7 linked regions of the Macaca mulatta genome follow. The protein of the gene in region 6 interacts with the protein of the main gene of each other region in a pairwise test. Links are inferred from orthologs where the notes say so. Each region holds a gene or a part of one and is shown on either strand. Other genes may lie near its edges. The genes, in order: ACSF2, TMEM234, RHEB, TMEM203, FDPS, CREB3 and VKORC1.

Region 1 (3,868 bases), on a different chromosome or scaffold from region 6:
CATGCCTGTAATCCCAGCACTTTGGGAGGCTGAGGCAGGCAGATTGCTTGAGGTCAGGAGTTTGAGGACCAGCCTGGCCAACATGGTGAAACCTCGCCTCTACTAAAAATACAAAAATTAGTGGGGGTAGTGGTGGGTACCTGTAATCCGAGCTACGTGGGAGGGTGAGACAGGAGAATCACTTGAATCTGGGAGGCAGAGGTTGCGTGAGCTGAGATTGCACCTCTACACTCCTGCCTGGGTGACTCCGTCTCAAAAAACAACAACAAAAATGGGTTGGTATCTCAAAGGGATACCAAGGGTGAGGGTTAAATTAAGTAGATAATCCACATCAAGGTGCTCTGCACTCTCAATGACAAGGAATAGGAGGTCTGAAAGTGCTAGTTTCCCTCAGTGTCTTCCCTTCTCCATCCCATAGGAGCTGCCAAGAGAGCCCACCAGCAAGAGGCCAAAGAAAACAGAAGCTCTTTATGCCAAATCACAAGGACAGACAAGGGGAGTACGGAGGATGGACAGGAGGAGGGCCTGGGCAGACCCTTCCTCCCTCTTTATTCACAGATTTAGATGTCGTTCCATCTGCTCTCGAAGTTTGAATTTCTGGATCTAGAGGAAAGAAAAAGGAGTTAGGGTGACCAACTGTCTTGGTATGCCCAAGAATAAGGGGTTTCTCAGGCTTTTAGTGCCAAAACAGGGAAAGTCCCCAGGCAAACCAGGATTAGGTGACTTGGTCACCCTACTGCCAGCCTCTCCACACCCATTGCTGAAGCAAACAGAGGTGGGGCCCCATGGGACCCCAGAGCCCAGGCTGCCCTCCCTAGTCTCCTTCACCTTACACACCTTTCCTGAAGTGGTGAGGGGGTAGTTTGTGACGAACACGATGTACCTCGGAATCTTGAAGTGAGAGATCTGCAGACCAGAGGGAGGGAGGTAAGGCGTGAGGCTGGGCAAGCTCACAGGGGTATGGGAAGGGGACCGGGGCTGGCTTGGCCGGGAGTCAGCTTCGTCGAGGGCAGAGCAGCCCCCACCCCAGGCTGGTTGGCAGAGGAGTGGGCGAACAAAGAACCGAGCAGCATCAGCTTGGTTGGGCGGAGGCTCCCACCTTCCCTTTGCAGAAAGCTTTCATCTCCTCCGCCGTGGTCTCCTCCCCGTCCTTCAGCCGAATGCAGGCACAAATCTCTTCCCCCATCCGATCGTCCTTCACTCCCACGACCTTCCAGGGCCAGGGAAAAGTATCAGACATCACCTGGTTCATGTGTGTTTCCTGTTTCTGGGGGCTCACCTGAGCCGGGTGCCTCACCTGCACTTCCTGCACCTTCGGGTGCGTGTGAAAGAAGTCCTCGAGCTCTGCGGGGTAGATGTTCTCACCACCCCGGATGATCATATCCTTAGAGCGGCCCACGATCTTGCAGAAGCCCTGTTCGTTCATTGTGGCGATATCTCTGTAAGGAAAGCCCAGGGGTGACCTGTCACCTCTGCCTTGTTCACTCACTTGCTTGCTCACTCATGAAACATTTATTGACCACCTACTGTGTGTCTTCCACTGCTCTAGACTCTGGGAGACATAGCAGGAACAAGACACAGTTTCTGGAATTAATAGTCTAGTAAGGGGAAGGGAGGCAGACAAATACAAACCAATACCTATAACATATTCTCTCTCTCTTTCTCTTTCTCTTTCTCTCTCTCAACATATCTATACATATGCTTTTCACAGCTGGCTTCTTTCCGGGTCTCAACTCAAATGTCTCCTGACATCTTCTCTGTCCACTCAACCTAAGGGAAGCTCCCCTCCCCACCACAGCCACTCTTTCTCCTATAACCCTATTTTATTTTCTTGGTGTTTTTTGTTTGTTTGTTTGTTTTTGAGATGGAGTCTTGCTCTGTCGTGCAGGCTGGAGTGCAGTGGCACGTTCTCAGTTCACTGCAACCTCCACCTCCCAGGTTAAAGCGATTCTCCTGCATCAGCCTCCTGAGTAGCTGGGACTACAGGCACGCGCCACCATGCCTGGCTAATTTTTGTATTTTTAGTATAGGTGGGGTTTCGCTGTGTTGGCCAGGCTAGTCTCGAATTTCTGACCTGATGTGATCCACCCGCCTCAGCCTCCCAAAGTGCTGGGATTACAGGTGTGAGCCACTGTGCCTAGCCTATTTTCTTGGTGTTATTTATCGATGTCAGGCATCATCTGTCTTCCTCCAAAAAAAGGATCCTTCTCATCTTACTTTCCTCTGGACCTCCAGCGGTGAGAACAGTGCTAGCACATAAGGAATTCTAATAAGAATTTGCTGAGCTAACAAATGAGTATGAGTGACTGAATCTGGACTCAGCTTTTGCAGCTGCTGGTGTAGGATGATGACCCAGTTGATTTCTTCTGTGCTATGTATGATCATCCCCACCATATACATTTTGGAAATTAAGTCTCCAGCATGTGAGGGGTCATCTTGATACCCACATCCTCACGGTGCCAGGTTAATGTTCCCGGCTCAGCCTCAAGACCTCCAGCCTCCCCTCAGCAGCCAGAGCCTCCACCCCGCCCTGCCTTCTCACCCTGTCCGATACCACTTGTCCTGATCCACTGCTTCCCCCGTCTTCTGAGGCTCGCCCCAGTAGCCCAGCATGACGCAGTACCCTCGGATGCACAGCTCCCCGGGCGTGTTCAGCTCTGCCAGCATCCCCGCCTCCATGTTCATGATCCGGGCCTGGGACAGGACAGCCTCAGGTTGGGGCTTCCTGTCCTCTTGCTTCAGCATAGGTGGTCCTCGGAAATGGAGAGAGCTTTGCCTGCTCTCAACCCCCCAACTCAAGCACCTGGAATGAGGCCCCCTGGCTCTGCCTATCCCCATCCAGAGAAGGGAGACAAAGGCTAGAGTCGACCCAAAGCCAGTCAGAGACCTGAGCTGGGCATGAAAGAAGAGCTGAGGCCAAAGCTGGGAGTGCTGAGGAAACAGAGCAGGCAGGCAGCTGCTGCAAAGAAAGAGGTCTGTGGACTGCAGAGCCAGCTGAAGAATTATAAACTGTGGAGAGGAGAAGGGAGTCTCCTCTTACTTCCCATTAAACAGCAAATAAGCCAAAGAGGGTAAGGCACGGCAACACCATGTGAATAGGAGAGGCAGAGTCTGAAAGTCCGGTAGAGCAAAGAGCCATGGCCACTGTGCCAAGGAAAGCTGAGCCTCCATGTGCCTCAGTGTCTGCATCTGTGAAACGGGGTAAGTGATGTCTGCCCCTGTTTCCCTTCCAGGTGAGCATCCTAGTGAGAATGGCAGTGCAGCTGTAGGACACACGGGAGGGGGCTCACATCCCTACTCAAACCCTGGGTACAGGGCTGCTCTGGCGGGAGGGCAGGGCATATTCACACCAGGATAGTGGTCAGCACCAGCAGAAGCAGCTACTTGTGCACAGGGGCAGCAATCCCCCAGGGGTGGGAGCAGAAGGGTGCAGGGGAAATCAGGAGCCAGCTGGCACAGCCCCAGTGTTAGAGCAGGAAAGGAGGCATGGCTGGGGTTTAAGATTGAGATGCACTCTGGGGCAACCTTTGAGGGGCAAAGGGACCCCCCTAAAGGGATAGGCTGCTTGAGAAATGAAGTGTTTATGCCAAGCAAGAAGAGAAACTCTGCTAAAGCGAGAGGCGGGGACCACTGGAGGAAAAGAAGCTATGTAGGAAAACTCTCTGTGCTCTGGCTTCTCTTTGAGGCTACCCTGGCTGCCCTGAAACAGACAGTGGGCTTGGCAAAAACACACCTCAGACAGGAAGGGAGGCTGCGGAGAAGTTCAGCTGGCAGCGGCTCACAGCCACCGTTCCAGCTTTCCCCCTTTCATGCTTAGCCCACAGAGAACGCTCCAGGCCAGGCCTAGCACACCGCTGCTGCTGGGGAG
Region 2 (2,451 bases), on a different chromosome or scaffold from region 6:
CTTCCTTGGGGTCGGGGACCTCATGGCTGAGAGCTAGAGGCTGGCCATACTCACGGCTCCATTCTGTGTGGCCTTCCACCTCCTCCAGAGGGCAGCACAGATAGCGGAAGAGGCCCTGTCCCTGGAAAACCAGCCTGGGGCTGGAGCTGCTATCTCAGCCTCAGCCCCAGCTCTGCCATCTTGAGAGCCAGCAGCTCCAGAGGGGAACTGGGGACCACCACTCTGGCCACCTTTTGTCCTCAGCCTCCAGCAGCTTGTTCCTCAGGAGCCAGCACCTCCCCTGGGCTCACAGGGTACACTGCGGCCTCCTCAGCCCTCCCAGTTCTCCTGTTCCTAAACCCACAGCCCAGCCTTCCCTTCCTCTGAGCAGAGCAGCCCTGGCTTGGGGGCTATTTCCTTATGGGATTCTCTAGCCACAGAAAGGAGTAGCTGACTGAGCCTGGGGGACAGGCTACAAACGGGGGAGCGGGTTTGTCACAATAAAAGAATACTTACTAACCTCTGTTTACCAGATTTATTGACAGCTACTACTCGCCAGGTGTGCTGGGCGCTGGAGTCAGGTGGGGCTGGGGCTCACAGCTGTCTACCTGTTTAAGAGGGGCTGGCAGTGAGAATTTCTGCCCACCTCATGGGTGAGGCAGGCAAGGCTAATAGACAGCTCATCTGCATCTGCCACTCCGATGTACCTTCTTCCCCTCAGTTCCACTCCTCATTCAGCCAAGGCGCTCTGACTGAGCCCTGGAGGCCTCCCGTTTGCATTTCTGGCTCAAAGTCTGCAGCTGGCCCTTTCCATGCAGCTGGCGTTCTGCAGTCCATGGAACCTGCCACTGTGATAGTCCAGATCAGGCCACAGTAATGGTGGCTGGGCTGGGGGCCTGAGATGTCAGCAGGAAGAGAGCTGCTGGGGCAGAAAGGTTGCTGAAGGTGAGCGTAGAGTCTCCTGTGCTAAATCCCAGCAGCTGAACAGCACTTGAAGGTTACAAAACCCTTTCACTCTTGTTCTCTTATTGTGATCCATGAGGTAGCTGTTATCCCCGTAAGAGAGGAGGAAGCTGAAGCCAGAGAGGGGAAGTGCTAGGTCCATCCACTCACTGCCAGCACTTCATGGCCCAGGTGCTTCCTGGAGGCAGCAGAGCTGGAGGTGGGTTCAGCCCACTCAAAGGGTAGACGGCTGCCCCTGGGTCTTACTCACTGAGCTTGTGATGCAGAGTGAAATTCCTATCACAGTGAGCACCATGCCAGCAACTGCTCCTGGGATAATAGGCAGAAATCAAGGGGGTCTGAGCTTAGCCAGGCCAGTAGGAGCTGGTACAGGGCTGGAGGAAGGGCTCAGATGGGGTCTGGTCCTGAATCCCGCCCCAGCCTCTGTCCCCAAACTGTCCAGGGCAAGGGAACTCTGAAGGCCACAAGGAAGCAGAACAGCTGCAGAGGAAAGGGCAGGATGGGAAAAGGCCGTGCCCTCACCCACTCTGGGGAGATGGGTTCTGGGAAGGAACTAACACAGGTATGTCGATGTCCAAAGAGCTGAGTCCTGCACTCGCAGTAGCCTGACTTACGTTTTCCACCAATATCTTCTCCAAGGGCCTTGCCAACAATCAGTGTGAAGATTATGGCCAGAGAGTTACAGATGGGCACAGCTAGGGTCAGATCTGGGTGGTCAGAATGGAAAGAATGCCTGAGATGCAACAAATGCCTTTCTAGGCACAAAACACTTCCATTATCATCGTTTCATACCTTTAAAAAAGGTATCATAACCCCATCTTCCAGCTGAAGTCACAGCAAATCTCAGGACTCAAACCCACATCTCCTGACTCCACGTTCAGTGCTTCCCAGGATTCCAGCATGAAGACCTGAACTCTGAGGTCTGGGACCAGCCTGGTTTGATAATGAGAATGAGGTCTTTGCACTCAGAGAGAACTTGTGAGATCTCAAGGACATCTGCACAGACAGGCAGGCACCCAAATCCCAAAGGATGCAGTAGAGAGTCAAGTAACACCAAGCACAGCCACTATTGTAATACCATGGCCTGGGTGCTTTGTGTACATATCTCAATTTTCACAACACTGCAAGAAGGGGATTATCACCATTTTGCATAAAGGAAACAAAGGCTCAAAGAAGTCACATAAACTAAGGCAAGTTGAGGATTTGAACTAAGGCTTGCCTGACTCCAAAACCTGCGCTGTTACTGAGCTGTGGATACAGACAAAGCAGAACATCAGGTGAAGCACATTTTGTTTCTGTTTCAGCCCAAGCTCAGGCCTTATGGAGTTAAAAATAAAAAGCGTCAGAAGGAAGAAGCCAGGGCCTGTTCAGGACATTCGGCTGGACCAATGGTGTGGGTAGAGGGCATCATAGCCTAGGATCTGTTCCTTAATTCTGAAGTTCCAAGGGGCTGATTGCCAATAAGCAAACTTGAAAAAGAGTAATGGAGTTGGCCGGGCGCGGTGGCTC
Region 3 (4,106 bases), on a different chromosome or scaffold from region 6:
GAAGGGCCATGCCCGGCCTCTGCAGGTCCCCACTGCCAAACAGCCTCGGCAGAATAGGGGCGGGTTCCCCGGCGCGGCGGAGCCTCTGCTAACTCGGCAAGTGCCAAGCCCACCAGCAGCCACCACTCCGGGCCTGCCTGGAGGCTCGTCCCTCAACGGCACCTGCGTTCCCGGCCCGGATTCTCTTCCCGCGCCCCTCTGCACTGCACCCCTGGGAAGGCTGTGCCCACACCGCGGCCCGAGGCGTTCCTGGCACCCGGCTCCGGCCTGCCCGCCGCACCAGCCGCCCTGGCGCTGGCGGAGAACCGGCTTCCCGCCCCGGCGTTGTTCCAGGATGTGCGCCGAGCTCCGCGCGAAGCGAAGCAGACACCAGAACTGACGAGGCTCGCCCTGTTTTTAATGAAATTCCTAACACTTTGAATTAACGCAGACTCCATGCTTCCCACAGTCCTTCGGCCGTGGGTGACGCTTAGTCACCACTACATCCTCAAACCCAGACACGAACGCTAACGCAGCTCAAGGGGAATTTTCAAAAAAGCCCCGAGGGAGGAGCTAGCCCAACCACCGCCCGCCCCGGCCACGAGCCTCGCGCCCTTCACGGGCTCAGCGGGCGCGAACCCGCCAACCGCTCAGCTTATCACCAATCACCGCACCTCCCACCTATTGCCCCGCCCTGCGCTCCGTTCCGGCCAATCACCGGGGAGCCACCGTTTGTCTCTCCGCCTCTCCCGCCCGCCCCCAACCGGTTGGAAGTTTGAAGCCTTCAAACCTCGCCGGCGCCCAACCGCGCTGTAGCAGCGCGGTGTATTTTTAGCTCCTGGGTGGCCAGCCCCGCCTCCTCCGCCCCGCCTCCTTGCCTCCCCCAATGGGAGATGGAGTTTCTGACACGTCATCGCGCGGCTGTGCAGGTGCCGTCCAATCGGCGCTCGGGGAGAATGGCGTAATTAAAAAGCGGCGGAAGAAGGTGGGAGGGTCATGACGCAGCGAGTTTCAGTCGTGACTTTTCTGGGGGCATCGCGGCGTCCCCTTTTTTTGCCTTTAAAGTAAAACGTCGCCCCGACGCACCCCCGCGTATTTCGAGGGGGCGGAGGCGGCGGGCCACGGCGCGAGGAGGGGCGGTGCTGACGCCGGCCGGTCACGTGGGTGTGTTGTGGGGGGAGGGGCGCCGCCGCGCGGTCGGTTCCGGGCGGTTGGGAGCGCGCGAGCGAGCGAGCGAGCGAGCTAGAGGCAGCCGCGCCCGCCGCCGCCCCTGCTCTGTATGCCGCTCTCCCCCGGCGCGGCCGCCGCCGATCGCAGCAGCAGGAGCCGCCGCCGCCGCGGTTGATGTGGTTGGGCCGGGGCTGAGGAGGCCGCCAAGATGCCGCAGTCCAAGTCCCGGAAGATCGCGATCCTGGGCTACCGGTCTGTGGGTGAGTGGCCGGTGGTCGCGCGGCCTCCTCGCGCCGCCGGGGCCTCGCCTGGAAGCCGGGTCGCTGCCGGGCCTGCGAAGTTTGGAGCCGGCGCGGCCATGTGGCGGGGCGGGCGGGGGCCGCGCGTTTCGTAACCACCATTTTGAGCGGAGGTGGTGGCGGTCGGGGCGGCGTCCGCACCGGTCGAGGAGCTGCGGTAGCCGGGCGCCCTCCGCGGGCCGGGCGGGCAGGTGGCGGCCGGGCGGAGGGCGTGGGAGGCGCGGGGCGGGGGCCGCCGGCCGCCGAGGAGTCCGGGGCTCGTCTGGGGAAATGAGGCGGCGCCAGGGAGCCGCGCTAGAGGCTCCCGCGAGGAAGGAGTCACACCTGCCTCCCCGCCTTCGCCGCGGGCGCGCGTGACCGGGGCTGGCGGTCTCCCCCACCCCGCCCCCGATGCAAGGAAAAGAAAGTCCGTGGGATTTTAACAAAGGAAGCAGCACCTCGGCTTCATTCCATCTGTGGTGAAGTTTACCCTTGTAAAGAAAACTAGGGACTTAGAGAACGTTTGGTCTCTGGACGCAAGTTTTGTACATAGGAAACCTAGGCGAGCCCCCAAAAGAGGCCCCTCTGGAGGCCCTGGAGATGCTGCTGGCGGCCCGGGTAGGAAGGCAGAGAAAAAGGAATGTCTGATCTCTCAGTGGCCTATATTTCTTCGGGAAGGAATAAGGTCAGGTACTTGCAACCACGCTGTTGAAGTAATTCCGAAGTCTTTTTGTTTTCTTTTTCTTCCCCCAAAAGGTTGACGTACATTTGAAACGGTTCCTAGCGTCGCCTTACTGCTGAATAAGGTGGCTTAGGGTCGGGTTGGGGGGCGGACGGGGTGTCACAGAACAAGCGGTTTTCTGGCCTGTGAGAAACCGGAGCGATCGAACTTAGACACGCTTCAGGGTGAGGCTGTATTGTCTGCCGACATCCGGAAGCCTGGAGAAATTACGTTCATCTTTTCGGGCTGTTTTGAAGTAACTGTCTATAGAAGACGTGCGCCGGGCCACATTTGGGGGGATGGGGAGGTGAAAGCGAGGGTTCAAAGGCTCCGGTGATTGCGGAACGGGGTGACAGCATGTGTCGTGGGAAGCTTGTACCTGCCAGCCGCTCGCGGGATGCACTCCCCAACTGCGCTTTCCACCGCCGGTGCCAGGGTCTGTGCTCTTTGACCAAGATCAGCCACTGCATGCTTACTCATCCTTTTACTACCTCTCCGTCGAGAGCTGGAGGAAGTCAAGGGCTGAGAGAAGCTTGGCTAGAGATGCGGGGTGCCCAGAGTCGTAGGGGGAACTCTTGTGCGATGCGGTGCTGCAGCCAGGAAGTAACCACGAATCAAATGGAGGGGTTCAAAGTCACTAACTGTTCAAATATCTACATGGAACCTGGGATCCAACCTTTATTGGCAGCCTGAATCCATGCTCTTGTCTCTGTTCTCTTGATTTCCTCCTCTGCATTTTGAGGAGTTGGGAGCGCGAGGTGTCCTGGCTCTTGGGTGAGCCCTCCCTAGTCAGTCAAGTAAGTACTTATTGCCAACTATTTGAAAATAGCCCCTGAATAATCACATTATGGTCAAGTACCTCGGCTACTTGATTTCAACCCAAGAGAATGACCTAAAGATCCTGACTGATTTACCCTTTTAAAATGTTGAAATGGTAGCTCTAGTCTTTGGTAAGCAGGGCTAGTTTTATCACTTTTTGGTGGGTTTTTTTTGGTTGTTTTTTTGTTTTTTTGTGTTTTTTTTGCTAAAGAAGTTCCTTGTGTCCAGTTGAAATCCATTCTGTTTTATCTTCCCCTCTATTCAGCTTCCTCCTGAGGACGGAGATGTGACAGGACACCCCTTAGCCGTCTCTTCACAAGCATTATTTTAAAGTGCTGCTTGTTAAATACTGTGCTAACTTAGTCTTCGGTGGGTTACAGGGTCACTTTTAGTCCCTATTTTGTGTCTTCAGTATTTCATATTTCTGCAACCTACCCCACTTCTCCATACTTATTTTCAAGCGTAGTCATATTAAACGATTTTGGAGAGGTTAAGTTGCTCCCAATCTTGTATTTGATTTTTTTTTTTTTTTTTGAGACAGAGTTTGGCTCTTGCCACCCAGGCTGGAGTGCAATGGCGCGATCTTGGCTCACTGCATCCTCCACGTCCAGGGCTCAAGCGATTCTCCTGCCTCAGCCTCCAGAGTAGCTGGCACTACAGGCATGCACCACTACACCCGGCTGATTTTGTATTTTTAGTAGAGACAGGTTTCACCACATGGCCAACCCTCAGGCTGGTCTCAAACACCTGACCTCAGGTGGTCCTCCCACCTTGGCCTCCCAAAGTGCTGGGATTATAGGCGTGAACCACCACACCCAGCCCCATTTGATTTTAAAGTGTATTATGAGCCGGGATATTTTGTAGTTTGTGGGGTCTTTTGCAGGGGAAGGAGATTAGGTTTTGCCAGCAGGTTTCGTCTAGTAAGCCACCCTTTTGAGGATTACTCAGCATGCTCACTTCTGGGAGCTTGCAAATGGTGCTATACCAGAGAAATCTGAGCACATGTGTTTCTAGATTGTGGTCTTTTGTGATGCTGAGCTGTTTTCTCCTATATTCTGGGGGTAGAGCCATAGAAAAAGGCTCCACATCTTTCTTAGAATGTTCTCTTAAGTACATTAAACCAGTTTGACTAGTAGGAT
Region 4 (3,168 bases), about 59 Mb from region 6:
TGATCCGCCCTCCTCAGCCTCCCAAAGTGCTGGGATTACAGGCGTGAGCCACCGCACCCGGCCTGCTTTTAATTATTTAGGGGTGTAAAAACCATCCTCAGCTCAAGGGTCACACAAAAACAGGCCTTAGGACATTGTTTGCTGATCCCCGCGCTACAGAGTGCCAAGGCCCACACAATACCACACACTGGCAAGAAGTCACGGGCTCTGGGGTCACAAACTATTCAACGGGTCTTCAACGTGAGCCTAGACTGTTGTCTTCACACAGGGTGGGGCGGGTGCCTGAGTTACCGGCCTCCTAGAGCAGGAAGGAGGGATTCTCCAGAACGAGTGATTCCCACCACCACCACCATCCACTAAGCTCTAGCCACAGGTTTCAACCCATCTGAAACTGCAGCTCTGTAACCAGTTACACCATGCAGCAGAGAGTATCTCAATATTCATCACATTTAACCTTTGAGGGGTACAGGCAACCACTATTCATTTCAGGAAAACATTCTCTTACTTTATTTGCATCTCAGCAAAGGTTCTCATTTGGCACCTGACTGGCATCAAACCAAAGTTCATAGGCCAACAAAGCTGGGCCACTCACAAGTTTCCCATTTGTAGGTCTCAGTGCCTATGAGTATCCGACACCTGTTCCTCTCTTCAGTCTCTCAGGGAGGCTTAAATCTGTCTCAGGTGTGCTAAGAGTGCCAGCCACAAGGTGGTGAAAAGGTCCACGGAACTGCAGTCTTCGCTGGGATAGGAAACCAAGCAGTGCCTGGACAGCAGAGCTCTTTTCGTGGGCAAGAGATAACCAGACAGGACCCTAATCGTGCTCTTATTCAACATTCTTCTCTCTCTGCCTAGACTGGAATAAAAAGCCAATCTCTCGTGGCACAGGGGAGATACAAGCTGGTTTACATTTGATCTAACAAAGGCATCTACCGAAGTCTGGTCTGGATGGACGGCACAGGGAGCTCTCAGGTCAGCGCTGCTGGTTGGAGGACATTCCTGAGTCCAGCTTTGCAGCCTCTGTGCAACAGTACTTTCCCAGGATCCACAGGAAATACTCAGAGTCCACCGGGACATTTTACTTATATTCAGCTTCCAAGTGTCAGAGGGGTTCAGGACTGCCTGGCCTGGGGGCCTCCTCAGGACCTCAATTCAGGATTATCTACTCAAAGCATTAAATAAAAAGAAATACATTTTCAGGATGAAGGCTGCTCTTTTAAACCCTGCTGAAGAAACCATTTCAGGCAGGATTGAAATAGGAAAACCGGGCACTCAGTTCGGCGCAAGCAGGAGTTGCCTTTAGACTAGAGAGCCTCTCCTCCGGTGCGGCGCAAGTAGGGCCTCGGCTTGAGGTCAGCATTCTAGCCGTCCAGCGCTCCCTCTCCGGCACCTCGGTGAGGCTAGTTGACCCGACAGGCGCGGATCATGAGCAGCTGCAGGAGAATGAAGACCGGGGACGTAATGAGGCCGAACCAGAGCTCCCGAGTCTGCTCCGCCAGCTTCTGGCACAACAGCATCTCGAAGACGAACTTGAGACTCAGGACCGTGAGGACCCAGAAAAGGCGGAGCACCGCCAGCCGCTTCTCTCCATCCTGGAAGAGGCGCACGGACACGATGGTGGTGAAGTAGGTGCTTAGCCCGTCAGCGGCGAAGAAAGGCACGAACACGTTCCACCAGGAGAGGCCCGGGACCAGGCCATCCACACGCAGTGCCAGCAGCACAGAGAACACCAGCAGGGCCAGCAGGTGCACGAAGATCTCGAAGGTGGCGAAGCCTAGCCACTGCACCAGCTCCCGGAGCGAGAAGAGCATCGCGCCCGTTGAGCGCGGGCCGGGACCCGGCCGAGCGTGCCACCCGCGGGGCTGCGTCTCCTCTCCCCGTGGCCCTCGCCCGCGCCTGCCGCCGCTGCTGCGAGCGAGAGGCAGAGAGCGGCCCCGCCACCCCCAGCCCTCGGCCCTGGTGCGCCGGCAATGCCCTGGCCCCGACCCGGGACTCAACCCTGGCCGCCGGTGGACGCCCGCCTCGATCGGACGCCATGCCCCACCGGGCGCGTCCCTAGTGCGTCACTTCCGGTCGACGGCGGAAGGCGGAGCGGTCCCTGTATCCCGGCCGGCGGGATCTACCTTCTAGTTCTTAGTCTCCGACCTGGAGCCGGGCGCGTCCAGATGCCGAACCCGCAGTTTCTGGTGCTCTTTGGCAGCCAGACAGGCACGGCTCAGGATGTGTCGGAGAGACTGGGTCGCGAGGCCCGGCGCCGGCGGCTTGGCTGCCGGGTGCAGGCCCTGGACTCCTACCCGGTGGTGAGGGCTAGCTAGGGCCTCGGCGTGGGGGACAAACAGGCCTGGCGTGCCCGCTTCTCGGGGTCATCGACCCAAAAGGCGTCGCATTATCTCTGAGAGCGGGTCTTTCCCTTATGGCGGATTTAGGGAAAGGGGAGGCTTGGGAAGAGGAGTTCAGTTTAGCACCTGGAGGAGGTTGGAACCTGAAAGAGAAGACGGTCTGGCCGCTCACATAAATTCCTCTGCCCTGTCAGCCTGAGTGAAGGAGAAGGGGGTCGAGTTTTGGGAAGGACGCCCAGTCCTTACAGCCGGAGGTCTTACGTGTGTGTGTCTTTTTGTTGAGGTGAATCTGATTAACGAGCCCCTGGTGATATTTGTTTGTGCAACTACAGGCCAAGGAGACCCCCCTGACAACATGAAGGTAAGGCTGGCCTGATGTGGCTCCTCAGATCCCTGCCCTCGACCCTCATCCCGTTTTCATTGCCTGGAGTCTAGGTGCAGTAAATAGCTCTCCTCTATCTCATGCATCTTCAGAGGTGGATTTGAGAGGACGTCCCTGAGTGGAGCTGGGGGCTCCAGTTGCTCTCTCTAATAAACGCTTCATAGCCACCAAATAGCCTTATTATCCATTTTAACCTTTCTTATCTTTCCAGGGCTATCTATATGTGCATCTAGTCTGGATCTTCTGTGTATTTCTAGACTGTATGACTCTCAGGGAACGTTGCTGAATTCTCTGACCATCTTTTAGGCACATATTCCATTCTTGGCACAGTCTGGTGCTGGGGATCCCGCTGTGAACCCAGTGCCATAGTTCTGTCCTGGCAGAGTTCATACTGTAGCAGAAGCACCTAATGGGCAATGACAGTGCCAGCGAACACCTGCAGCTGGGGAA
Region 5 (3,500 bases), on a different chromosome or scaffold from region 6:
TCCCAAAGTGCTGGGATTACAAGTGCGAGCCACCGCACCCGGCGTTTTTAAAAATTTTTAATTTTTTTTTTTTTATTCAGAGTCTCACTTTGTTACCCAGGCTGGAGTGCAGTGGCATGATCTTGGCTCACTGGAATCTCTGCCTCCGGAGCAAAAGCCACCCTCCTACCACCTCAACATCCCAAGTAGCTGAGACTACAGGAGCGAGCCTCTACCTGGCTAATTTTTTTTTTTTTTTTTTTTTTTTTTTTAATAGAGACTAGGTTTCGCCATGTTGCTGAGGCTGGTCTTGAACTTGTGGCATCAAGTGATCCGCCCATCTCGGCCTCCTAAAGTGTTGGGATTACAGGTGTGAGCCACCGCGCCTGGTCTAAATTTTTTTTTTTTTTTTTTTTTTGAGACGGAGTCTCGCTCTGTCGCCCAGGCTGGAGTGCAGTGGCCGGATCTCAGCTCACTGCAAGCTCTGCCTCCTGGGTTTACGCCATTCTGCTGCCTCAGCCTCCCGAGTAGCTGGGACCACAGACGCCTGCCACCTTGCCCGGCTAGTTTTTTATATTTTTTTTTAGTAGAGACAGGGTTTCACCATGTTAGCCAGGATGGTCTTGATCTCCTGACCTTGTGATCCGCCCGTCTCGGCCTCCCAAAGTGCTGGGATTACAGGCTTAAGCCACCGCACCCGGCCCTAAATTTTTTTTTTAGAGACAGAGTCTCACTCTGTTGCCCAGGTTGGAGTGCAGTGCTACAGTCATGGCGTACTGTAGCCATGACCTCCTGGGCTGAAGCCATCCTTCCACCTCAGCCTCTCAAGTAGCTGAGACTGCAGGCGCCCGCCACCATGCCCGGCTTTTTTAATAGTTTTTTTTGTAGAGATGGAGTCTCACTTTGTTGGCCAGGGTAGTCTTGAACTCCTGGGCTCAAGTGATCTGCCTGCCTCGGCCTCCCAAAGTACTGGGATAACGGGTGTGAGCCACTGTGCCTGGCCTGGGTTTTTTTTTTTTAATTTTCCCTAATAAATAGAAAGTGCTGGTGGGGTTAAGAATCAGTGCTAGGAGGCAGAGGAAATGTGGGGAGGCCATGGAATTAATTCTCTTGGAGACCATCATGGTTGAGTGGTGGTGGCCAAAATGAGATTGTCCTTGCAGTCACCCTTGGGAGAGGCCGTGAATGGGTGGCTTCAGGGAAACCATGCTACTCCAAATAAACACAGAGTCAATTAAACATGTGCCTTTGATGTGGAAAGCTCAGGACCTCCACACTACTCTTCTGGGGTTAGGTCAGAGGTAAAGGTGCAGATGGATACCTCCTTCCCTGAGGACTCTGCCTATGACAATAGCAGTGGTTGTTGCAACGGTCCTTTCCCCACGGCCCATGCTGGGTTCTGGCAGGCGGTGTTGCATGCTTCCTTTGCAATGTGGATCGACTACAGCACACAGGATTAGGATGGGATGAAGTCTTAAAAACCATGTCTTCTAGGCCAAGTGTAGTGGCTCATGCCTGTAATCCCAGCACTTTGGGAGGCTGAGGTAGGTGGATCACCTGAGGTCGGGAGTTTGAGACCAGCCTGACCAACATAGAGGAACCCCATCTCTACTAAAAATACAAAATTAGACCAGGCACGGTGGCTCATGCCTGTGATCCCAGCACTTTGGGAGGCAGATCACTTGAGGTCAGGAGTTCAAGACCAACCTGCCCAACGTGGCAAAACCCCATCTCTACTGAATGAAAATACAAAAATTAGCCAGGCTAGCAGTTGGTGGTGGCGGGCGCCTGTAGTCCCAGTACTTGGGAGGCTGAGGCAGGAAAATCACTTGAATCTGGGAGGAGGAGCTTGCAGTGAGCCCACGTGGCGCCACTGCACTCCAGCCTGGGCGACAGAGTGAGACTCTATCTCAAAAAAAAGAAAAGAAAAGAAAAGCTATTTAAGGAACCAAAACATATAGTATGACTGACTGCAGGAAGTATCACAGGGAATGTTAGAGTGTTTTATTCTTGAATTTCTTTGTCAGACAAGTGTTTAGGAGACTCTCACTCCAGGCCTAGTGCTGTGCTAGGCTCTGCAAATGCTAAGAGGGAGAAGTCACTGTCCCTGCTTCCAAGGAGTTCATGGTCTAGTGGGAAACCCGATACGTTCAGGTACCTTCAGATGGGCACTCAGAAGAGTAAGCCGTTAGTTAAAATTAATGTTAAAAAATGTTTAAAGATGTCTGAGACTCATAGGTCAAAGTCAGATTTCAGTTCCACCTGATTAACCTGTACTGCTAAGGAGCTCCTTTAGGTAAGGCTGTGTTCCTAGTCACTGGGGTGTTCAAACACAGTGCTGGGGGCAATGTGGGAATAGCCTTCTTTTATTTAGGAAGTAATGGAAAGTCAATCACACAAATAAATCTTACTTTAAGCATTCATTGAGGTGTTTGGCAAGAATAGAGTACGGTATATGAAGGTGTTTCCTAATCTCCCTGATACCAGGCCTAATCTAGGGCTCATTAGAGATGTCAAAGATCTGTTCTAGTTTCTTACCTAAAACAAGAGTGTTTTAGTTCCATTTTATAGGCGAGGAGTCTTAGCCAAACAGGTTATGTCACTTTCCAAGTCTCCATAGCATAGAAGCCTTCTGCCTCCCCACCCTGACTTTCCCAGCTCATAGGGACTATCAAAAGCAGCAGCTGTGGCCGGGTGTGGTGCCTCATGCCTGTAATCCCAGTACTTTGGGAGGCTGAGGCAGGAGGATCATTTGAACCCAGGAGTTCAAAACCAGCCTGAGCAACATAGTAGGACCCTGTCTCTACAAAAAATAAATTGGAAAAAAAAAAAAAAAGTCAGGCATGTGGTGTGTGCCTGTGGTCTCAGGTACTCAGGAAGCTGAAGTGGGAGGATCACTTGAGCCTGGGAGGTAGAGGCTACAGTGAGTCGTGATTGCACCACTGCACTGGATAATGGTGATACTCTGTCCCCCACCAAAAAAAAAAGCAAAACTATATACAGATGTAGATATAAAGTAGCAGCTCTGTTGCTGATAGAAGGAACAGTAATGAGCCCTGCAGGTCTTATTCCACTCTTCCTAGCTGCAAGCTTTCTTCCTGGTGACAGATGACATCATGGATTCATCCCTCACCCGCCGTGGACAGATCTGCTGGTATCAGAAGGTAATGGTGGGCAGGAAAGTAGCAGTGGGTATGGGGACAGGCCACAGGGAGGTGGTATGTGCGGCCTGGTTGAGGTGTTGGGATGATGGCTCTTAGTATGAACCGAGACTAGAGATTGATTGCTTGTTTTTCTCTGTCATGATAGCCGGGTGTGGGTTTGGATGCCATCAATGATGCTATCCTCCTGGAAGCATGTATCTACCGCCTGCTGAAGCTCTATTGCCGGGAGCAGCCCTATTACCTGAACCTGATCGAGCTCTTCCTGCAGGTATTGCTGCAGACAGGGCCCGATGCCCAGAGGGTGCCCATGGTAGCCTTGGCCTTTATAGGACATGCTCATCTGGCTGGTTTCAGGGT
Region 6 (4,139 bases):
TCCTGCGGCTCTCTTGAGCAGATCTTTTATTTCGAATCTTCCTCCGCACACGTTTCAGAATTTGTTCCTCCATCTGAAAGGAAACAAGGAAAGGGGTATCATTAGAGGGACTCTAGAACAAGAAGTTGAAAGGCAACTGAGATCCATCTCTTTCCAATACAGAAATCCCTTCTACAGCTTCCCTGACCAATAGGCATTCACATTCTTTCTGAATGCCTCCACGGACCATGTGTTAACCCTAACAAGCCAGACCATTTTAAACTATTAAAAAAAAAAATTGGTCAGGCAATATTCAAGTGACATGGCTCATGCCTGTAATCCCAACACTTTGGGGAGCTAAGGCAGGAGGACCGCTTGAGCCCAGGAGTTTGAGACCAGCCTGAGCAACACAGTGAGACCTTGTCTCTACTAAAAATAAATTAGCCGGGTGTGGTGGCACATGCCTGTGGTCCCTGCTCCTCAGGAGGCTGAGGAAGGACAATCGCTTGAGCCTGAGAGGTCAAAGCTGTAGTGAGCCATGATCTCACCACTATTCTCCAACCTGGGCAGTAAAGCAAGAATCTGTCTTCAAACAAAAACTTCCTTATCCTGAACCAACAGCTGTCTCCTTATAATTTCTATACGTTGGACTTACCTAGTATCTCTGGGGCCAAATAGAATGAACCCTGTTTAGCTATTTTCAGGCATTTGACATTTCCTCAGAGAAAAAAAGTTCAAGAAAAAAACAGCTTAGACAAAAATTTTAACTCATCTTCTTAGGATAGACTGCATCTTCTTAGTATCTGTCAAAGATGTGCTCTAGCCAGTATAAAGGAAAGCAAGATAGTGACTTGTGGAGACAATAACTCTTGCTACAGTTTCCAAATCCCATTAACTTTCCTAGTAGCCACATCGCACTGCTGACTCATCTTGTACTTTGAAGGAATTAAAATTCTTTACTTTTGGAGGCCAAGGTGGGTAGATCACTTGAGCACAGGCGTTCAAGACCAGCCTGGCAACAAGGCAAAACCCCATCTCTACTAAAAACACCAAAAAAAAAATTTGCCAGGCAGGGTGGTGTGCACCTGTAGTCTCAGCTACTCAGGAGGCTGAGGTGGGAGAATCACCTAAGCCCAGAAATTCAAGGCTGCAGTGTGCCATGATCACATCACTGCACTCCAGCCTGTGCAACAGAACAAGACCTTGTCAAAAAAAAAAAAAAATTCCTGGAACTTTTCTATTAATGAGCACTGATTTCATCATAGTATCCCAGTACTCTGCTTGTGAAGTTGCCACTGATTGCTTAAAACTGGAAACTAAGGATTTTGCATTTATTCATGTACTGCTTAGTCCAATCGTGTTGAACTCTCTAAACAGTTCTACCATTCAGCAAGAGGTGGATTACTATGAAGCCAATGAAGTGTCAAGGCCCTTCACTTACACAGTCCTTTCCAAGGCCCAATACTAATGTTGCACTGATAATTTTGAGGGTTTTTTTTGTTTGTTTTTTAACAGAACACCAAAATTTGTGTAAGCCCAACGAAAATGAGGATCTGCCTTGCATCTAGCATATTGGGTACCTGCCTCAACTTCCTATTAGCAATAAATCTGCTAAGTTTCTCACCTCAATCCTTTTTTAAAGTTATTGATATAAAGTTAACAGAATTGGCCTACTTGAGACTTTTAATCCCTTTTCAGCCTTTGCTCAACTAACGAGAGTCTTACCTTAGTGAGAGGAAGTGTCTCAGGCAGAATAAGCCCCTCCTTCTCCAATAGACTCTTCTCCTCATCTGTCAGTACCAGCCTAACAATATCCTAGGGTAACCAGAAAGTGGGCGGCAGTTGCATGGGGATGTCACAGAGGAATGGGGAATCCTGCCCCCACCTGAGGAATGTGAGAGTAATCATCCTGAAAATCAAGTCAAGTACCTGCTCTGCCAGCTCCTCCATATGCTGTGGAGTCATCTGGGTCCCCTCTTTTCTACAGCTCTCACTCTCTGCAAAAGGGAACGTATGAATAGCCAGGCCCATGAACCCTGTCCTCCCCCCAAACTTATTTCAGACTCACCTAGATCCATAGAGACAGGTTCTCGTGGGAGGGAGTAGGTGTGGTCATGGTGGACAAGGCAGGGGTTGGAGTTGCTGAGAACGTTCAACGACGACGCTGGGGGACTCAGCAGGGAGCTCAGCAAATCATCTACCTCCCAGTCGCTCGGTACCTGCGCAGGGTTCCAGTGAACAGGCCTTGACCTATCACCATCCCCTGACCTCATGGACATCCCACGCTTTCCCCAGTCAGAACCCCAACGCACCTCAGAAAGCGGCAGCTCCCAGTCCAGTGGGGCCCTCACGGACTCATCGGGCGCCGTCCTCAAATCTCCACTTTCCTCTAGCAGGAAGCCCAGTAGGTCTTGGTCACCAGCGTCCAATTCCAGCTCCATTTGGGACAACTACGGAAAGGGTGGGCTACCGGGCCCCAACGTCCGAAGCCCAGACACGAGCCCCAGGCCAGCTGTAGGCCTCGGGCACCTATCCACTGTCCCTCTACGGCCGGGCTTCCCGGCCGGGGGCTTTCCGTAGCCCTCTCCGGACCCGCCTCCCAGGCTCAATTCTCCTCAGCCTCCAACGCAGCGAAAGTGACGCACCCCACCCCGTGGCACTGTGGGACTTGGAGTTCCCTCCAACTGAGAAGAGGCCTGGGTGCCGCGCCACGTCCCAGGGGCTATGCAAATGTAGGGGACGGCCCTGCTGCCGCCTCGCACCCCGAGGGCGGGGGTTCCGGGGCTCCGGCTCCGCCTTCTCCCCCAAGCTAGAAAAAGGAAGAGTTCTGGCCTGAAAGGGAACTCGGGCGTCGTCTTGGCGTTCTCTCCGGATTGCGCCGCACCCTCGCTTCCTGCCAGGGAGGGGCTGCCGGCCTTTGGCGGCCCCCGAGCATCGAGAACGCGGCCAGAGCAGCTTCCTGCCTGCCCCCCGCGACCATAGAGCGCTGCCCCAGGGCGCCGCCCGCGGGTGGGGGACGTTCCCAGGACGGAAGTGGCCGAGAGAGTGTCGAAGGGAGGGCGAGGCCGGAGCCCGAGGGCGACCCGAGAAGCGGCAGGGCAGCGGGCCGGCGGGCCGGCAGGCGGGGCGCAGAGCCGGGCAGCGCAGGTAGGCCAGACCGGGCCGGGCGGGGGCCTTAGGGTGGGGCCGCGGAGCCTGGCCCCGGGGGCGGGCGGGGCCCTGCCTCTCCTGCGTGTCCGGTTCGGGTCCTGTTAGTTGGAGAGGTCAGCGTCCAGCGCATCTCAACTTGGGCTCATCGTGAAGTAGGCCGTCTTAGGGGAGACAGGCCTCTCCTGGGGGCAGTCCTCTGCCTGGGATAGGCTTTGGGGAGCGTGAGGAGTCGGGTAGCAGCGGGGCGCAGGACGGGGACGGGCTTTGGTGTTAGCTGATAGCGGCCATGTGGGTAGGAAAGCTTTGGGTGAGTTGGGGATTAGGTGGGGTCCGTTTAGGAATCAAGGGTCGCTATAGGAGTTAAAAGCTGGGGTTAAAACTTAAGAGTTAGTAGTGTGAGTCAGGTCCGTTTTAGGTAGGTAAGGTTTAGATTAAGGTCATTATTTTGTTTGCTGGGATGGCCATCATACGTCATAATTTGAGTTCAGGGTCGGGTTAAGGGTCAACAACAGGAATCAGGTTAGAGCCTGTTTGAGGGATTAAAGAATGTTGACATGGTCGGTATTAAGGATAAACAGTGAAAGCGTGAGTTAGGAATCAAGTTACAAATGAACTTTAGGCTTAGGGGTCAACATTTAGGGTTAACATCAGGCGATTTGGTGCTAAAGGTAAAACTTAGATCAGTATCAGGGATCAGGGATTGGATATGAGTCTCTGCTGGGAAAGGGATGAATGTCCAAGCCGGTAGTGGGAATCAGGAAACAAATTAGAGGTGGGGTTAATGTTAGGAATTTGGGGCAACTTTAGGGGTTGTAATTGAGGCTAGCATAGTTGGCCTTGAGCAGATGAAATTTAAGAGGTTGGCAGTAGGTAAATGCCCTTCTTTTGTAGGGAAGTCCTTTATTCCTGTGTAGTTACAGGGGCTTCTTTTCACCCAGAGAGATAACAAACTAATTTCAGGCTAGTGTTCTGGCTTATTGCAGGCATCTGGGATTCCAGCATCTTTATTC
Region 7 (4,209 bases), on a different chromosome or scaffold from region 6:
GCACCTGTAGTCCAAACTACTCGAGGGGCTGAGGCAGGAGAAAAACGAACCCTGGAGGCGGAGGTTGCAGTGAGCCGAGATGGCACCTCTGCACTCCAGCCTGGGTGACAAAGTGAGACTCCGTCTCAAAATAAGTAAATTAATAAATCAATAACCACTGGGTCTAGCGTCTTGGTGACACCAGCCACTAGGTGTCAGGGCAGTGCTGGAGGCAGCAGCTAGTTTATGGCGTGGGCAGTGAGGAAGAAGTGAGGAAGTAGAGACTGGGAGTGTAGAATCTTTCCAAAAACTTGCCTGTTAATGCAGGGAGGGGAGGCTGCTGAAGGACCTCTTAGTGAAGGGAGATGTGTTGCTGTTTCTGAGATGGGAAAGAGAAACAAGTTGCAATGTAGATGGGGAGGACGGAGAGGTTGAAGGTGTAGGAGAGATGGGTCACCATCAGATGGGATGTCTGTGAAGGAAAGACCTCAGCAGGCCCACAGCTTGGAAAGGAGAGACTGACTGTTGAGTTGATCCAAGCTCAGGTGTTGTCAGGCAGGTGCCATGATAGTAGAGAAGTTAGGATACTGTCAAGGGTGTGTGTGGCCAAAGGAGTGGTTCTGTGAATGTAAGGGAAAGACCCACCAGCAAGAAGCGCTGGTGAGGCAGGACCTGGGAGGATGCGAGGCTGCAGCCCGAATGGTGCCTGAAATAGTTTCAGGGGAAATGCTTGGTTCCCGAATCGGATCGCGGTATTCACTGGATCCCCTGATCCTCTGGTCTCTAGGTCCTGGATGCTCCAGTTCTTACAACAGGACTTGGCATAGGGTAGGCCCAAATGCTGTTAGCCACATTAACGCAATTTTTTTTTTTTTTTTTTTTGAGACAGTCTCACTCTGTCGGCCAGGCTGGAGTGCAGTGGCACGATCTCGGCTCATTGCAACTTCCGTCTCCCCAGCTCAAGGAATTCTCCTGCCTCAGCCCCCAGAGTAGCTGGGATTACAGGCGTGTGCCACCATGCCCGGCTAATTTTTGTATTTTTAGTAGAGACGGGGTTTCACCATGTTGGCGAGGCTGGTCTCGAACTCCTGACCTCAGGTAATCCGCCAGCCTCGGCCTCCCAAAGTGCTGGGATTACAGGCGTGAGTCACCGCCCCCGGCCAAAACAGTTTTTAAATCTCTGGAGACGTCATTTCCCTTGACGCCTTGCAGCCGCCCCGACTACAACTCCCATCATGCCTGGCAGCCGCTGGGGCCGCGATTCCCCACGTCTCTTACCCGCTTCACCAGTCTGGGCGTTCTTAGCGGTTTTCCTAACTCTCTCGCCTGACTAGCTCCCGGGAACAGCCGTTTGGATCGCGGAGTGCGAACCCGGCCGGCCAATCGCCAAGTCAGAGGGGCAGGAGGGGCGTGGCCATTCCCCGCCCCGCCCCTGCTCCGTGGCTGGTTTTCTCTGCTGGCGCCTCGGACGGAACCTGGAGATAATGGGCAGCACCTGGGGGAACCCTGGCTGGGTGCGGCTCGCTCTTTGCTTGGCCGGCCTAGTGCTTTCGCTCTACGCGCTGCACGTGAAGGCGGCGCGCGCCCGGGACAGGGATTACCGCGCGCTCTGCGACGTGGGCACCGCCATCAGCTGTTCCCGCGTCTTCTCCTCCAGGTGTGCACGGGAGTGGGAGGCGTGGGGCCTCGGAGCGGGGCGGCCAGATTGCCAGATGATTATTCTGGAGTGTGGGATCGGTGTGCCCAGGGAACGGACAAGGGGCTGGACTGCTCGCGGGGTCGTTGCACGGGGGCTGAGCTACCCAGAGATACTGGTGTTCGAAATAAGAGTGCGAGGCAAGGGACCAGACAGTGCTGGGGACTGGGATTATTCCGGGGACTCGCATGTGAGTTGGATGCCAAGGAATAACGGTGACCGGGAAAGGCGGGGAGGCAGGATGGCGGCAGAGATTGACGATGGTCTCAAGGACGGCGCGCAGGTGAAGGGGGGTTGGCGATGGCTGCGCCCGGGAACAAGGTGGCCCGGTCTGGCTGTGCGTGATGGCCAGGCGTTAGCATAATGACGGAATACCTAGGAGGCGAGTGCGTGGCCAGGGAGCTGGAGATTCTGGGGTCCAGGGCAAAGATAATCTGCCGCCGACTCCCAGTCTCTGATGCAAAACCGAGTGAACCGTTATACCAGCCTTGCCATTTTAAGAATTACTTAAGGGTCGGGCGCGGTGGCTCACTCCTGTAATCCCAGCACTTTGGGAGGCCGAGGCGGCTGGATCACTTGAAGTCAGTTTACCAGCCTGGCCAACATGGTGAAAGCCTGTCTCTACCAAAAATAGAAAAATTATCCCTGCGCTATTGCAGGCTCCTGTAATCCCGGCTACTTGGGGGCCTAAGGCAGGAGAATCACTTGAACCCGAGAGGCGGAGGTTTCAGTGAGCCAAGATCGCGCCACTGCACTCCAGCATGGGCCACAGAGTGAGACTCTGTCTCAAAAAAAAAAAAAAAAAAAAAAAAGAATTACTTAAGGTCTAGATGAAAAGCAGGGCCTACCAAGTAGCCACGTCAGGCCTGGTCTGGGGAGAGGGGAGGATAGGGTCAGTGACATGGAATCCTGACGTGGCCAAAAGTGTCTGCTGACTGGAGGTCATCGACCCTTGGTCTAGGATAGGAGGTGGGGAACAGAGGATAACCCAGGTGGCTTCTTGGAAATCACCTTTCCGGGGTAGGGTCCAAGGCACTAGGTTGACATTCCTAACCTGGTTCCACCCCCCCACACCACCCCTCTGCCAGGTGGGGCAGGGGCTTCGGGCTGGTGGAGCATGTGCTGGGACCGGACAGCATCCTCAATCAATCCAACAGCATATTTGGTTGCATCTTCTACACACTACAGCTATTGTTAGGTGAGTGGCTCTGCCCCCTCCCTGCAGGCCCCGGCCCTCATCCCCCTTGGTCAGCTCAGCCCCACTCCATGCAATCTTGGTGATCCACAGCTGATAGCCAGCTAGCTGCTCATCACGGAGCATCCTGCAGGTGGAGAGGTGGGGAGGTAACTAACAGGAGTCTTTTAATTGGTTTAAGTACTGTTAGAGGCTAAAGGGCCCTTAAAGACATCCTAGGTCCCCAGGTTTTTTATTTGTTGTTGTTTTGAGACAGGGTCTGGCTCTGCTGCCCAAACTGAGGTCTAGGATGCCCTTAGCGTGCACTGGTGCGATCTCAGCTCATAGCAACCTCTGCCTCCCTGCCCAAGTGATCCTCCCACCTTAGCCTCCCGAGTAGCTGGAATCACAGGCGTGCACCACTATACCCAGCTAATTTTTGTGTTTTTTTTGGTAGAGACAGTGTCTCGCCATGTTGCCCAGGCTGGTCTCAAGCAGTCTGTCTGCCTCAGCCTCCCAAGGTGCTGGGGGGATTACAGGCATGAGCTACCATGCCCCACCAGCACCCCAGTTTTGTGGAAAAGATGCCGAAATTCCTTTTTAAGGAGAAGCTGAACATGAGCTATCTTTTATCTCATTTAGTGCTCCGCAGGAAAATTTGTATCTGGTCCCAGGAATTATTGAACAGATAGGGGAACCAAGGGAGTGGGAGACGATGGCGCCCCAGGCCTTGCTGATGCCATACCCTGGAGATGAGACTACCTATTACCACCCTTCCCAACAGGCCCCCACACTCCCTTTGAGTCACCCTTCCCAGCTCCAGAGAAGGCATCACCGAGGGAGGCCCAGCACCACGGTCCCTGGCTGACACATGGTTCAGACTTGGCCGATTTATTTAGGAAATTTTATTGCTCAGAACTTTCCCTCCCTGGGCAATGGCAAGTTCCTTGGAGGGAACCTGTCAAAGCCTTTTTTTTTTTTTTTTTTTTTTTTTTAAGAAATCATCTTGCTCTGTTGCCCAGGCTGAAGTGCAGTGGCACAATCATAGCTCACTGTAATCTGGAACTCCTGGCTCAAGTGATCCTCCTGAGTAGCTGGGACTAGAGTTACATGCCACTGCACCCAGCTAATTTTTATTTTATTTTTTATTTTTTGAGACATAGTCTTGCTCTGTCACCAGGCTGGAGGGCAGTCGCGTGATCTTGGCTCACTGCAACCTCTGCCACCCCGGTTCAAACAATTCTGTGTCAGCCTCCCGAGTAGCTGGGACTACGGGCGCGTGCCACCACGCCCAGCTCATTTTCGTATTTTTAGTAGAGAGGGTTTCACCCTCTTGGCCAGGATGGTCTCAGTCTCTTGA

Evidence for each region.
Region 1: the proteins of CREB3 (region 6) and ACSF2 interact in a two-hybrid assay, tested with the Homo sapiens proteins (2 studies listed by BioGRID and IntAct). The two-hybrid records come from large-scale screens. The link is inferred for Macaca mulatta from reciprocal best matches to the Homo sapiens genes CREB3 and ACSF2.
Region 2: the proteins of CREB3 (region 6) and TMEM234 interact in a two-hybrid assay, tested with the Homo sapiens proteins (2 studies listed by BioGRID and IntAct). The two-hybrid records come from large-scale screens. The link is inferred for Macaca mulatta from reciprocal best matches to the Homo sapiens genes CREB3 and TMEM234.
Region 3: the proteins of CREB3 (region 6) and RHEB interact in a two-hybrid assay, tested with the Homo sapiens proteins (2 studies listed by BioGRID and IntAct). The two-hybrid records come from large-scale screens. The link is inferred for Macaca mulatta from reciprocal best matches to the Homo sapiens genes CREB3 and RHEB.
Region 4: the proteins of CREB3 (region 6) and TMEM203 interact in a two-hybrid assay, tested with the Homo sapiens proteins (2 studies listed by BioGRID and IntAct). The two-hybrid records come from large-scale screens. The link is inferred for Macaca mulatta from reciprocal best matches to the Homo sapiens genes CREB3 and TMEM203.
Region 5: the proteins of CREB3 (region 6) and FDPS interact in a two-hybrid assay, tested with the Homo sapiens proteins (2 studies listed by BioGRID and IntAct). The two-hybrid records come from large-scale screens. The link is inferred for Macaca mulatta from reciprocal best matches to the Homo sapiens genes CREB3 and FDPS.
Region 7: the proteins of CREB3 (region 6) and VKORC1 interact in a two-hybrid assay, tested with the Homo sapiens proteins (2 studies listed by BioGRID and IntAct). The two-hybrid records come from large-scale screens. The link is inferred for Macaca mulatta from reciprocal best matches to the Homo sapiens genes CREB3 and VKORC1.

Annotation. Positions count from the first base shown.
Region 1 is NC_133421.1:59,531,465-59,535,332, forward strand, and holds the end of ACSF2 (medium-chain acyl-CoA ligase ACSF2, mitochondrial), read right to left. Parts: intron 2,695-3,868; coding exon 2,543-2,694; intron 1,440-2,542; coding exon 1,298-1,439; intron 1,211-1,297; coding exon 1,100-1,210; intron 907-1,099; coding exon 838-906; intron 604-837; coding exon 553-603; 3' UTR 501-552; downstream 1-500. UniProt on the Homo sapiens protein: Acyl-CoA synthases catalyze the initial reaction in fatty acid metabolism, by forming a thioester with CoA. Has some preference toward medium-chain substrates. Plays a role in adipocyte differentiation.
Region 2 is NC_133406.1:208,667,128-208,669,578, reverse strand, and holds the end of TMEM234 (transmembrane protein 234), read right to left. Parts: intron 1,650-2,451; coding exon 1,557-1,649; intron 1,252-1,556; coding exon 1,193-1,251; intron 899-1,192; exon of another isoform or gene 828-898; coding exon 714-827; coding exon of another isoform or gene 697-713; 3' UTR 687-696; exon of another isoform or gene 588-686; 3' UTR 501-587; downstream 1-500.
Region 3 is NC_133408.1:190,942,373-190,946,478, reverse strand, and holds the start of RHEB (GTP-binding protein Rheb), read left to right. Parts: upstream 1-1,306; 5' UTR 1,307-1,357; coding exon 1,358-1,409; intron 1,410-4,106. UniProt on the Homo sapiens protein: Small GTPase that acts as an allosteric activator of the canonical mTORC1 complex, an evolutionarily conserved central nutrient sensor that stimulates anabolic reactions and macromolecule biosynthesis to promote cellular biomass generation and growth.
Region 4 is NC_133420.1:5,248,848-5,252,015, reverse strand, and holds TMEM203 (transmembrane protein 203), read right to left. Parts: upstream 2,018-3,168; 5' UTR 1,809-2,017; coding exon 1,398-1,808; 3' UTR 501-1,397; downstream 1-500. Other genes in the region: NDOR1 (NADPH-dependent diflavin oxidoreductase 1), read left to right, coding at 2,163-2,297, 2,620-2,697. UniProt on the Homo sapiens protein: Involved in the regulation of cellular calcium homeotasis. Required for spermatogenesis. Acts as a regulator of STING-mediated inflammatory signaling in macrophages.
Region 5 is NC_133406.1:111,664,803-111,668,302, reverse strand, and holds part of FDPS (farnesyl pyrophosphate synthase), read left to right. Parts: exon of another isoform or gene 1-405; intron 406-1,875; exon of another isoform or gene 1,876-3,062; coding exon 3,063-3,143; intron 3,144-3,288; coding exon 3,289-3,411; intron 3,412-3,500. UniProt on the Homo sapiens protein: Key enzyme in isoprenoid biosynthesis which catalyzes the formation of farnesyl diphosphate (FPP), a precursor for several classes of essential metabolites including sterols, dolichols, carotenoids, and ubiquinones.
Region 6 is NC_133420.1:63,961,932-63,966,070, forward strand, and holds the start of CREB3 (cyclic AMP-responsive element-binding protein 3), read right to left. Parts: upstream 2,801-4,139; 5' UTR 2,421-2,800; coding exon 2,292-2,420; intron 2,199-2,291; coding exon 2,048-2,198; intron 1,977-2,047; coding exon 1,909-1,976; intron 1,795-1,908; coding exon 1,705-1,794; intron 74-1,704; coding exon 1-73. UniProt on the Homo sapiens protein: Endoplasmic reticulum (ER)-bound sequence-specific transcription factor that directly binds DNA and activates transcription. Plays a role in the unfolded protein response (UPR), promoting cell survival versus ER stress-induced apoptotic cell death.
Region 7 is NC_133425.1:29,731,042-29,735,250, reverse strand, and holds the start of VKORC1 (vitamin K epoxide reductase complex subunit 1), read left to right. Parts: upstream 1-1,409; 5' UTR 1,410-1,463; coding exon 1,464-1,636; intron 1,637-2,763; coding exon 2,764-2,873; intron 2,874-3,306; coding exon 3,307-3,390; intron 3,391-4,209.